3 linked regions of the Cricetulus griseus genome follow. The protein of the gene in region 1 purifies or fractionates together with the protein of each later gene. This does not show direct contact. Links are inferred from orthologs where the notes say so. Each region holds a gene or a part of one and is shown in the gene's direction. Other genes may lie near its edges.

What was found.
Region 2: the proteins of Sgf29 (region 1) and Zzz3 purify together in Homo sapiens (affinity purification with mass spectrometry; 7 studies listed by BioGRID and IntAct, counting the BioPlex papers as one, with this or other methods). This does not show direct contact. The link is inferred for Cricetulus griseus from reciprocal best matches to the Homo sapiens genes SGF29 and ZZZ3.
Region 3: the proteins of Sgf29 (region 1) and Taf6l purify together in Homo sapiens (affinity purification with mass spectrometry; 4 studies listed by BioGRID and IntAct, counting the BioPlex papers as one, with this or other methods). This does not show direct contact. The link is inferred for Cricetulus griseus from reciprocal best matches to the Homo sapiens genes SGF29 and TAF6L.

The regions. Positions count from the first base shown.
Region 1 is NC_048596.1:74,084,098-74,087,746, reverse strand, and holds part of Sgf29 (SAGA-associated factor 29), read left to right. Parts: intron 1-1,937; coding exon 1,938-2,013; intron 2,014-2,936; coding exon 2,937-3,009; intron 3,010-3,649. UniProt on the Homo sapiens protein: Chromatin reader component of some histone acetyltransferase (HAT) SAGA-type complexes like the TFTC-HAT, ATAC or STAGA complexes.
Region 2 is NW_023276806.1:6,892,531-6,896,179, reverse strand, and holds part of Zzz3 (ZZ-type zinc finger-containing protein 3), read left to right. Parts: coding exon 1-35; intron 36-2,278; coding exon 2,279-2,426; intron 2,427-2,512; coding exon 2,513-2,628; intron 2,629-3,189; coding exon 3,190-3,261; intron 3,262-3,649.
Region 3 is NC_048596.1:51,305,788-51,309,913, forward strand, and holds the start of Taf6l (TAF6-like RNA polymerase II p300/CBP-associated factor-associated factor 65 kDa subunit 6L), read left to right. Parts: upstream 1-1,301; 5' UTR 1,302-1,449; intron 1,450-1,543; exon of another isoform or gene 1,544-1,599; intron 1,600-2,871; 5' UTR 2,872-2,920; coding exon 2,921-2,928; intron 2,929-4,126. UniProt on the Homo sapiens protein: Functions as a component of the PCAF complex. The PCAF complex is capable of efficiently acetylating histones in a nucleosomal context. The PCAF complex could be considered as the human version of the yeast SAGA complex.

The DNA.
Region 1 (3,649 bases):
CTGTCTCGAAAAAACAAAAACAAAAACAAGAACAAAAACAAACAAACAAAAGATTTAACTTCCAGGATCTACTCAAAGGATAAAGCACTTTGAAATGTGTGGGGTTTAGATAACCCAGCCTGCTGAGTTAACCCTGTTAATCCCCTGCTGCCCAGATTACTACCCTGGCCTGTGGCTGCCTATTTCTGGGCTGCAGCTCAGTTGAAAACAAACCCAGTCACCTTGCCTCAGTCCTTGGCACTACATACTAAAGTCTACCACCTTCCCTTGAGACAGACGCAGGTGGTGTTTAGAATAATTCTTATTGGTATTGACATTGCTTCAGGATGTAGCTTAGGTTTCTCTGTTACTGGTCCAGGTGTAGTCATGATGCATCACTGTATTACAGGTACCCTGGAGGTCCACAAGAGTACCATAAGTGTACCTATGGGCTATAGCATTGAGGGTGGAAGGCCTTTGTCTTTTGCCTTCTCTGGCCTCTGTCTGTTCAAAATAGCTCTGCTCTGTTGGGTCAGTGTTTAAGGCCTTTCTTTCCCCATGATGGATGGTTTTAGCATTTTTGCTGGTCCTGCCTGACTCTAGAGGCCCTCACTATTTCTAGATTGACTTCCATTGGCCTTTTTCCTGTAAGAGAACTCACGTTGATCTTCTTATTCTAATTAACAAATACTTTCCCTCTGAATGCAGCTCCTCATTCATCATGAATTTGTCTTGTCCCACAAGGCATAGGCATCACCAAAGCCCTCTCTGTCTGTGGGTCAGTGTTTACTCTGCCACTCATGTTGCAGATGTATACTGATAGCATAGGAATAGTAAAGTGTCAAACCAGAACAAGTACAGTGCCTCATTCTAGGACTAAAAGGTGATAGTCACATGTATGTTTATTTGTCCTGCATGTAGTACCAAGGAATTGAATCTGCCAGGTGATGCCTCTACTTTTTTTTCCAGACTAATTTTATTTTATGATTATGGGTGAGTGCCTACATGTATGTTTGTTCACTACATGCATACTTGGTGCCTCTAGAGGCCAGAAGGGGTTGTCAGACCCCCTGAAGCTCTAGTTATAGACAGTTGTGAGCTGCCACATGGGTGCTAGGACTAGAACCTGGGTCCGCTGGAATAGCAGCCAATGGTCTAAATCTCATTTCCTCCTATATATTAAAATAGCTTTTCTTTCATTCACAAATAAAGCATGATATGTGTTTGTGCCTGTAGCATGCCGTGTGGCATGTTGAGCATGCCATTGCTCTGTTTTGTCCATTATTACCGTTCCAAGCATTTGCTCATTGAAGTGTGTGTGTGTGTGTGTGTGTGTTGTTTTGCTTTTTTGAGGCAGGGTCTCTCTATGTAGCTCTGGTTGACCTGGAACTTGCTATGTAAACCAGGGTGGCCAAGAACTCTTAGAGACCTATCTGCCTCCTGAGTGTTGGTATTAAAGGTGTGTGCCACCACGTCTGGCTTATTGATATTTATAGTCAGTTACACACTGGTGGTTCTGCTGGACCACATGGTCTAGTGAACCAGTAGGGAGCAATTCCCAGGAATTCCTCTCTGGGACATACTAGTTGGTATACCCTGAAAAATAATTGTAAAATACTAGCGAATATTTGCTTAATGAAAGATCCCAGTGGGTTACATATATGCTTCATTCCAACTGTGTGACAAACTCCAGAAAGGAGAAACTAGAGAAAGTAAAAGTAAAATGATGTCATTGGCAGAGCCTTGGGATAGTTGGGATGGATGCAAGAGTTAGAGGAGCAGGGAGGATGTCTGGGGAGGTAGGACTCTTGTGTATGATACTGTAATGATAGGTATGTAACCGAAGCGTCTGTCAAAACCCACAGGACAGAATTACACAGAGGAGGTCTTCATGTAAACAGGGAGCTTTTGTTAGGGTAAATGGTCTACTTCATGGTCTCTTGACCTTATCTTTCTAGGAAGAACGCTCGAGGAGTGAGCACAACTTGGTGAACATCCAGAAAACCCACGAGCGAATGCAGACTGAGAACAAGAGTGAGTACCTGAGGGCAGAAGAGAAAGGAAGTGGGAATGGCTGAGGCCAGGAGCATGGCCTTACTGTGTCTTCAAAGGGAGTTTTGCTTGTATCTGCATATCCCAAAGTTGCTCTTTAGGGTCATTGTTCCTTTGTCTGAATGACTTAAAGTGACAGGACTAAAGACAGTTGGCCTTGCACTAAAGGACCTCAGAGTCTCTCAGCTCGGACTGGAAAGGCAGCCTTGAAGCAGGAAAACTCACCCTTACCTTAGAGCTCATAGGCATGGGGCTTTTCGGGAGCAGAGTTCCCCCATGGCCTCTGCATATGCCCCAAGGCAGGTCACCCCCTGTGCCTGGGGCTTTCTAACTCAGAATAGCTTTGGACAGTACTTGCTTCTCCTTGGTAATGATGTGGACAGGAGGCAGGTTAGAAAGCAATTTTTAAGAATGGTGGTGGCGTCTTTACCATATGGAAATGTGGCCCTGTTGAACAGGGAACACTTTTTTTTTTAATGTATGTTGGGATATGTGTATGCACATGTGTATGTGTGCAAAGGCCAACCTCATGTTTTGTTTCTCACCATTCATTCGCTGGATAACCCTGACTGTCCTAGAACTCTGTGTGGGCCAGGCTGGCTTTCAGTTTATAGATATCCACCTGCCTCTGCAAGTGCCGAGATTAAAGCAAATGCTACACATCTGGGATGCCTGGCTTTTTTTTTTTTTTACTTAGGTTCTGGTGATAGAGCTTGGTTCCTGGTACTTTCAAGGCAAGTATTTTACAGACAGAATCATCTTACTAACTTCCTGGGAGCATGTTTGAAGTGATAAAGCTCAGACCTTGACCTCTGAGCCTCTTCAAGCTGATTCTGATGTCCTGGAATCAGGGTTGCATGCTGCCACCTCCTCTTGCTCATGTCTCCTCATGCTTGTGTTTATAGTTTCTCCTTATTACCGGACAAAGTTGCGTGGCCTCTACACAACCGCCAAGGCTGATGCGGAGGCTGAGTGCAAGTGAGTAATGCCCACAGGGCTGTTGCTGCTCTGTTCCCTGACGTCTGGTGCTGGACCACATATTCCCGAGGCCACAGCCCCAGCTGCCTTCTGTCTGTGAAGAGGGTCCTCCTACTCTGCCTCTCCCATTGCTTGAACCTTCCCAAGCTCTTCCTTCTTTATCCATTCCTCTCCTGTATCTTATTGCCTTGTAGATGACAGTAAAGCAGTGTTGTGTCCCTGCATACCATTTCCTAGTCACATGACCTGGTAGTCAATTCACTTGAAACCCCGTTGCTTTGTCATTAAAATCAGGGTAATAACTCCCTGCTGGATTGTGAGCATACAGTGGGATTATGTGGAGAGAATGACAGATTCTATCAACTGTTCTGACCCTCCCCTGCCATGGGAATATGCCGACTATTGCAGCCTGTAATGGTAACAAGGACCACTACCTGGCACTACCTGGTACCATTCCAAGTACTTTCTTAATTTTTTTATTTTTGAAACAGAGTCCCATAATGTAGCTCTTATTGTTCTGGAATTCACTATGTAGACCAGGCTGGCCTCCAACTCACAGAGATTGTCCTGCCTTTGCCTCCCTAGACATGTTCCACTATACCTGGCCCAAATACTTTGTGTTTATTTACTTCACTTGATC
Region 2 (3,649 bases), on another chromosome or scaffold:
ATCCTATTGGATTTGTGGAAAAACTCCAGAAGAAGGTAACCCAAAAATGTACTTTGATACTTTTAAACATGTATTGGAGTGTACCTGGTAATTTAAGATAATTATGTTTCTTTTTCTGTGAGTCTGTGCTTTAAGAATATTTAACTTGCCAGGTGGTGGTGGCACACACCTTAATCACAGCGATGGATCTCTCTGAGTTTGGGGCCAGCTTGTTCTACATAGCAAGTTCCACAACAGCCAGGACTGTTATACAGAGAAAACCTGTCCCCCCCCCCCCAAAACAGAAACAAAACAAAACAAAAAAAATATTTAACTTCACCCCCTTCCAGTTTAATCCTGTTACCAAAGCGACATCTTCTTTCCCTGTCCAACACACAGTGACTTTTGCCCAGATGGAAAGAGCTGAGCTCTCTCATTGTCTGTGTGAACAGAGCAATTTTTCACATTCTTTGTCTGTTCTCCACTTGTCACTTCCTCCTGCTTCCGGGACTTCAGGATTATTGCTGCTCTGAGGCCTGGTGCAGAGGACTTATTAATTATTAACTGCTTTTGTTTGGGTTGCATTTGCTACTGAAAGGAAAAGCAAATGTTTATAATACAGAGACGACACAAAAATTTATTTTATACATGTTTAGAGTATAACCAAGTCTATGAAGAGAAACTATGAATTTCATTTAATTTTGAAAGAGGTTTCTTTTTTTCCTTTGTGTGAAACTAGCTAGTTTTCCTTTTTATTTGAAACAAATTTTAACAGTGAGCCATTCAAATATACTCTAAGTGCCTCAAATTAGGGAGCCCCCTAACTAATCAGCATTAAACACATAAGTACATTGTGTGGGGGTGTTGTTCTCTGGTACAACCAAGGGATGGAACCAAGACCCTGTGTACAAAAGTGCTCTACTGCCTCTGAACCTTGCTTCACATATTTGAAAGCCTCAACATTAGCATTGTGTGAAAACATTAAAACCAAATCTGTGAGTGCTTCTCTATGTAGTGAACCCGGGGTAACTGAGAAGTGTGATTAATCAACACACTGTTCTTTGTCTGGTCTCAGACCACGCTACATTCCATAGTACAGGCATAATCTACCCGTCGATTATTCAAAACTGGTTTCAGAGCTGTATTATACTTTCTCTCTGAAATAGGGATCCCCTCGGTCCAGAGTGGTGGTGCAGATTTAGAATCCAAAATTGCCTTACGAGTGAGGGTCCTGAGTTGATGAAGGTCGCCCTCAAACCTACTAATCAGATTTGAGGTCGCTACAAGAGACACTGGTTAAGAAAACAAAAAGTACCCTAAACAACAAAAGCTTAAGACATTAAAATAAATAAATGGGAAAAAAAAGTCCATCTTTTATCAGTATTAAAGTTTGCTTGAGCACAAAGACATTGTTCTTAAGATGGCAATTTTTGGCAAATTAAAACTGTTAGAGAAATAAATAACAAAGCCGGGCGTTGGTGGCGCACGCCTTTAATCCCAGCACTGGGGAGGCAAAGGCAGGCGGATCTCTGTGAGTTCGAGGCCAGCCTGATCTCCAGAGCAAATGCCAGGACAGCCTCCAAAGCCACAGAGAAACCCTGTCTCGAAAAACCAAAAAATAAAAAATAAAAAGAAATAAATAATAAATGTATTAACTTTAATCTCTTTTCTGGTGAGCAAAAACATACATCTAGGCATACTTACTAGATTTATATTCATTTGGCTGTTTGCTTGTTTTTCATTTCCAGGTTAAATTTAGAATTCTTTTAAAATTCTGAAACAGATGTGTTAGTGAGCATCTTAACTTTTTACAAAGATTAAACCCAGATACTCAATACAGAAACAAAGTTTGTGTTGCTTAGGAAGACTTGTTTGTCCTAGATTTAATTTGGAAGTTTCATTTCTAAGGTGTCATAATTGAAGCAAGGGATGTAGCTATGTGCTGCTGGGTGCACATGTTTTGTACAAAGCCCAACAGTGCCCGAAAGAAAAAGACTTTAGATTGTGAATTCATTTTTACTGTGTTACAGATAAGCCACAACCTTGAGGCTAAATGCCAAAATGTGTCTCACGTGTTGCATTCCGCACACTCAGGGTGCTTGTTAGTAGAACTGGTGGGGGTTTGGTGTTCCTGTGTAGAGTTGCTAGTGATGCGATCCTGTATTTCTTTATACATAGTTCATATTTAGCACTAGGAATAGTGTTTACAGTGTGTCTCTTGCATTTTATTCTACTGATTATCCCCTTGAGTTAAATGTAGATTGGCACTCTGATATTTGTATTTTGTCTTTTTTCCCAGGCCGATATAGGGCTTCCATACCCACAGAGAGTTGTTCAGTTGCCTGAGATTGTGTGGGACCAGTATACCAACAGCCTTGGGAACTTCGAAAGAGAATTTAAAAATCGCAAAAGACATTCTAGAAGAGTTAAGTTAGTTTTCGATAAAGGTAAGAACTCACACGGTGAGAATTTCATGAGGAAGATGTCTTGCAGTGTCTTGCTTGAATAATTCTGTATGTGATTTTATTTTTAGTAGGCTTGCCTGCTAGACCAAAAAGTCCTTTAGATCTTAAGAAGGATGGAGAGCCCCTCTCTTACTCCGTGTTGCCTTTGAGTGACGGTCCAGAAGGCTCCCATAGTCGCCCTCAGGTGAGTGGTATGAAATGCGTGAAAGCATGAAAGTATTTAACGTTCTGTTGAATTGTGTTCTTAAAATGGAGAGCTGTTCACTGAAAAATAATGGGAACGTAAACTTTCCAGTTAACCAGAAACCTAAATCTGCGTCCAAACTGCTAGCTCTGACACCTCAGTTGTTGTGTATGTTCTGGTCTTCAAGTTGCAGCCTCTTATAAAATGTAATTGGTATTGGTTATATTGTAGAGTCTTTATGGGTTTTAAATGGGCATTGTGGGTACCTTGCCCAGTACCAGTGGCACTGTGGAGTGTGACCAGGATTTGAGGTATGGCTTTGTCTCTGTAGGAATTGTTACTTTTCAGTTTTGAACCCACACTTCTTGTTGTTTATTTGAGGATTGTGAAGAGTTTAAAACCAAATGAAATATAAGAATATAAAAAAAATTAATCAGTAAATAGGTGGTATATGTGTTAAAAATACGCAAAGATATTTTGGAAATTGTGAAACATTCCTTGTGTGTTCTTTAGCTATATCCTTGCTGTTTTCCATTTATAAAAGCCTTCTTTTATATGCAGATGATAAGAGGTCGCCTGTGTGATGACACCAAACCTGAAACATTCAACCAGCTGTGGACTGTTGAAGAACAGGTAAATACATACGTCTAGCTTGTTTGGGTTTAATGACAATCTGAACTGTTAATAGTAAAATTAGCACTGCCAGGCAAGTGTTTACTGTTGCATTGTAATTCCTTTTAATCATGAGTTTAAAATGTGTAGAGTTACTTTTCTATCCCTTTTGCATAGTTTGAGAGTTTTGGATTTTGAAGATGCATGAACTATTTTTAGGATTAATTCTTAGAGAGAAACCCTGGGTTTGGGAAAACCCTCAGGACATGCAGAGCCCCTTCAAGTTGCATTTTAATTTCTGTTGTCTCAGATTGCCTGTGCTAAGGGCTGGTGTTGCCCAGCTGTAGTGAAGTGTGACCTTGATGTTGTGTATTTAGTTAGGTTGTGTATGGAGTGTTAGAAGCTGAGT
Region 3 (4,126 bases), about 23 Mb from region 1:
GGTTGAAATAAAGCAATTTGATCTTTGCAAGCACTAGGTATCTGGGGAGTGAGAGGATACTTCTGTGCGGGGGACCATGTTGGCAAGCCAATGACACACTGACTGAATGTATTCACCAAAGACCAGACTGACAGAAATGGAAGATTTAACAGGAGACACCACCAACGCTGGAGGTGTGGGAATTCAAAGATTGCACCTGACATAATGTGTTCCCAGTGTTAGCTCTTTACAGGGTTTAATGGAAATTTCTTAGGTCTGACAGGTGGGACACTTGTGGGAGGGAGCTCCATCTTGCTTAGGTGACATGACATTGTTGAGGACTAACTTTTACAGAGTGGGATGCCTGCAGTTGGGACTGGCCATCTGTCCGATGCAGGCATGTGCTATTAGGGGTCAAACTTGTGAAAGTGTAAATCTGCTCATTAGACGGTGGAATTCTCTGTATGATAATCAGGTTATGCAAGATAAAGTGTAGTCAGGGCTCCCCTCCCTCTTCCCTTCCTTTCCTGGGACTCACTCTGTAGACCATGCTGGCCTCGAACTCACAGAGTGCTGGGATTAAAGGCGTGTGCAACTATCGCCTGGCTGTACCTTCTGATTTTTGCTTCTCACGATGTGCCTCCCACCCCCAAAGCTGGCTTCAGACTCTCTGTGTAGACCAGGCTGGTCTCGAACAAACAAAAATCCTCCTGCCTTTGCTTCCTCAGTGCTGAGATTGAAGGTGTGCACCACCACACCCGGCCAGAGGTCCCTTCTGTCCACGGGGAAACATCTCCTGGGCCCCCATCTATTCTTCTGGGAAGGGGAAAAAGTAGCAGTTGCTGTTGGGGGCATTATTATTATTATTATTATTATTATTATTATTATTATTATTTATTTTCGAGACAGGGTTTCTCTGTGTAGCTTTGGAGCCTATCCTGGCACTCGCTCTGTAGACTAAGCTGGTCTTGTACTCACAGAGATCCACCTGCCTCTGCCCCCCGAGTGCTGGGATTAAAGGCGTGTGCCACCAACGCCCGGCTTGTTGGGGGCATTAAGCTAAGTCATGTACCGAAAGCTTTACTGTGATCCAAAAAACTTGTATACTCTGGGATAGCCGACTCAAGGGATGGAGGACTGTCTCTATGGAGAAGGTGTTAACTCCAGGCAACCCCGGGCACAGCACCTGCTAGCCAAACAAGAGCTGCTGCTTTAAGAAGCGCTATTCACGTGACCAACGACGCCTCGGTGCCTTCTCCACATATTCACACTGACCAATCCTGAGGCGGGACGGCCGCTGGTGGGCGGGAAGCTCAGGAGACAGCTGCCGATTGGCTCCGCGTACTGAGGGCGGAGCCTGGGCTCCGAGAGAGGGAATTAGCGAGAGCCGGTGAGTGGAAGCCGCCGCCGCCGCCGCCGCCTCCGCCGCCTCCCCGGTAGGCAGGGTCCTCGCATCGCCGGAGTCCGCAGGTGAGCAGGCTTCTTCGCGTCCGTGCTGGGCTGCTCACCAGCCTCGGGGCCCGCGGGGGCCCGCCCGCCCGCCTCACCGAGCACGTGACACAAGTTCCGTAACCCTTGACCTCCCCACTCCACCCCACGCCCTCTGGATCTGGGATGAAGGTGGGTCGGAGGATGCGCAACCCACAGGCCCGAGGAGGCCGGTTCTCACGCTTCCTGGTCAGCACTGGGAACTGAGGCTGTGCAAGACCTTGGTCACAGTCAGGACTTTGAGGTCTCAATAGGGGAACATAATAGAGCAACTCCCTACTGGCTTTTCAAATGCTCACGACTGAGTGCTCCCATTTTACAGATGGGAAAACTGAAGGGTACTCATCCCATCCAGTGGTGAATCTAAAGGTGGGACTTGGGTTACAAAGCCAGGCCTAGTTCAAACATAAGCCTGCTCCTGGTATATATATAGCATCCTGAGTATATTTTGGTTTTTCGAGACAGGTTTTCTCTGTGGCTTTGGAGGCTGTCCTGGAGCTCACTCTTGAGACCAGTCTGGTCTCGAACTCACAGATCCCCCCCGCCTATGCCTCCCGAGTGCTGGAATCAAAGGCGTGCGCCGCCACTGCCCAGCATCTGAGTTAATTTAAAACAAGGGTTTGAGTCCCTGACATCTAATTACTCAATGCTTGCTGGCTTGTCTTGGACAATCTAGGTAACCTTTCTGAGCTATCTCTCGTGGCTTTGTAAACTAGACAAAAATGTACACTATCTATCTTGTTAGCGAGGATAGGAGGAGGTCATAGAGTGTTGCTACTTGGAAGCCACAAACATTTATGTGCTTAGAGCTGGGGGCTGGAGAGATGACTCAGAGGTTACGAGCACTGCTGCTCTTCCAGAGATTCTGAGTTCAATTCCCAGCAACCACGTAGTGGCTCACAACCATCTGTAGTGGGATTCTGATGCGCTCTTCTGGCATAAAGGTGTACATGCAGACAGAGCACTCATTCATAAAATAATAAATCTTTAAAAAACCAAACAAAATAAATAAGACATATTTTTTAAAATTCGGCAGAGAAATAGCTGGGCTGAAGAGATGGCTCAGCAGTTAAGAGCACTGGCTGCTCTTGCAGATGACCCAGGTTTGATTCCCAGCACCCACATGGCAGCTCACAACTGTCTATAACTCCAGTTATAGGGGATCTGTCACCTCACACAGACATAACACAGGCAAAACACCAGTGCACATAAAAATAAGTTAAAGAAAAAAAAAAGAAAAATAGTTATTCTAGGCCAGGAGTAGTGGTGCACATGTTTAATCCCAGCATTGGGGAGGCAGAGGCAGGAAGTTTGAGGCTAGCCTGATCTACAGAGAGAGTTCCAGGGCTAAATAGAGAGACTTTGTCTCCAAAACAAATGAATACCTGCTCTTTCTTTTTTCAGCAGGTGTTAATGAAGGCATAATATGTGCTGACATTGCTGGTCGCTTGGGATGCAAAGGTGAGCACACAGACCATGATCTTTGCTGGTGTGCAGCTTACAGTCTACTAGGGACCACACGCTGGTCCCCAGTGCCGCTTTAAAAAGAGTGGGAATGATGGCGAAAAGCTGTGTGTAGTGAGCTTGCAGCCCGCCCCAGCATGCCAAGATAGGTGGTGGGTTCCTGGAGCTTGCTGACCAGCCAGCCTAAGCTAATCTGTGGACCTCAGGTTCCAGTGCGAGACCCTGTCTGAAAAAATAAAGTGGACAGCTCCTCAGGGGGTATGTTACCCAAGGTTGTCTTCTGTAAACTCATACACAAAAGCTATGCAGCTGTGTAGTTACAGACTGTTTGAACCTAGGGCTCACACATGCTCGGAAATATTTCTACAACTGAGTTGTATCTTCAGTCTTCTTTCTTTAATTTTTTTTTCTTTCTTTTTTTTTTTTTTGAGACAGGGTTTCTCTGTATTGCTTTGGAGGTTGTCTTAGAACTCGCTCTGTAGACCAGGCTGGCCTGGAACTCAGAGATCCGCCTACCTCTGCCTCCTGAGTGCTGGGATTAAAGGCGTGAGCCACCAATGCCTGGCTTCTTTACTTCTTTTCTTTTCTTTTTGTGTGTGTGTTTTAGTTTTTCTTTTCTTTCTTTCTTTCTTTTTTTTTTTTTTTTGGTTTGTCGAGACAGGGTTTCTCTGTGGCTTTGGAGGCTGTCCTGGAACTAGCTCTTGTAGACCAGGCTGGTCTCGAACTCAGAGATGTATCTGCCTTGCTTTCTGAATGCTGGGATTAAGGGTGTGCACCATCACTTCAGCTCCAGTCTTCTTTTTACATTTTATTTTGAGATAGTCTGAGTTGTTAGGGTAACCTTGAACTCACTTCATAGTTCAAGTGGGCTTTGAACTATCCATGCTCCTGCCTCAGAGTTGCTTTAAAAACAAATGATGGGGACATTTACACAATCTGGGAAGAGCTTCCTTAGCAAGTGACATCTGAACTATGATCTGAAGGGGGTAAGTGATTGATCGAGATTTGGGGAGAACAACAAAGAAGGAGAGTGTCAGACAGAAGCAGCAGAATGGATTGAGGCCTTGAAATAAGGAATTGAAAGGTAGCCACATGTAGACACACAGAACACAAGGGAAGAAGCAGTGAGTTTTGCAGATAGACGGCGCATGCATAGCCTTTCTAGCGTGGGCCGGTTTTACTCCATTTTTCTAAA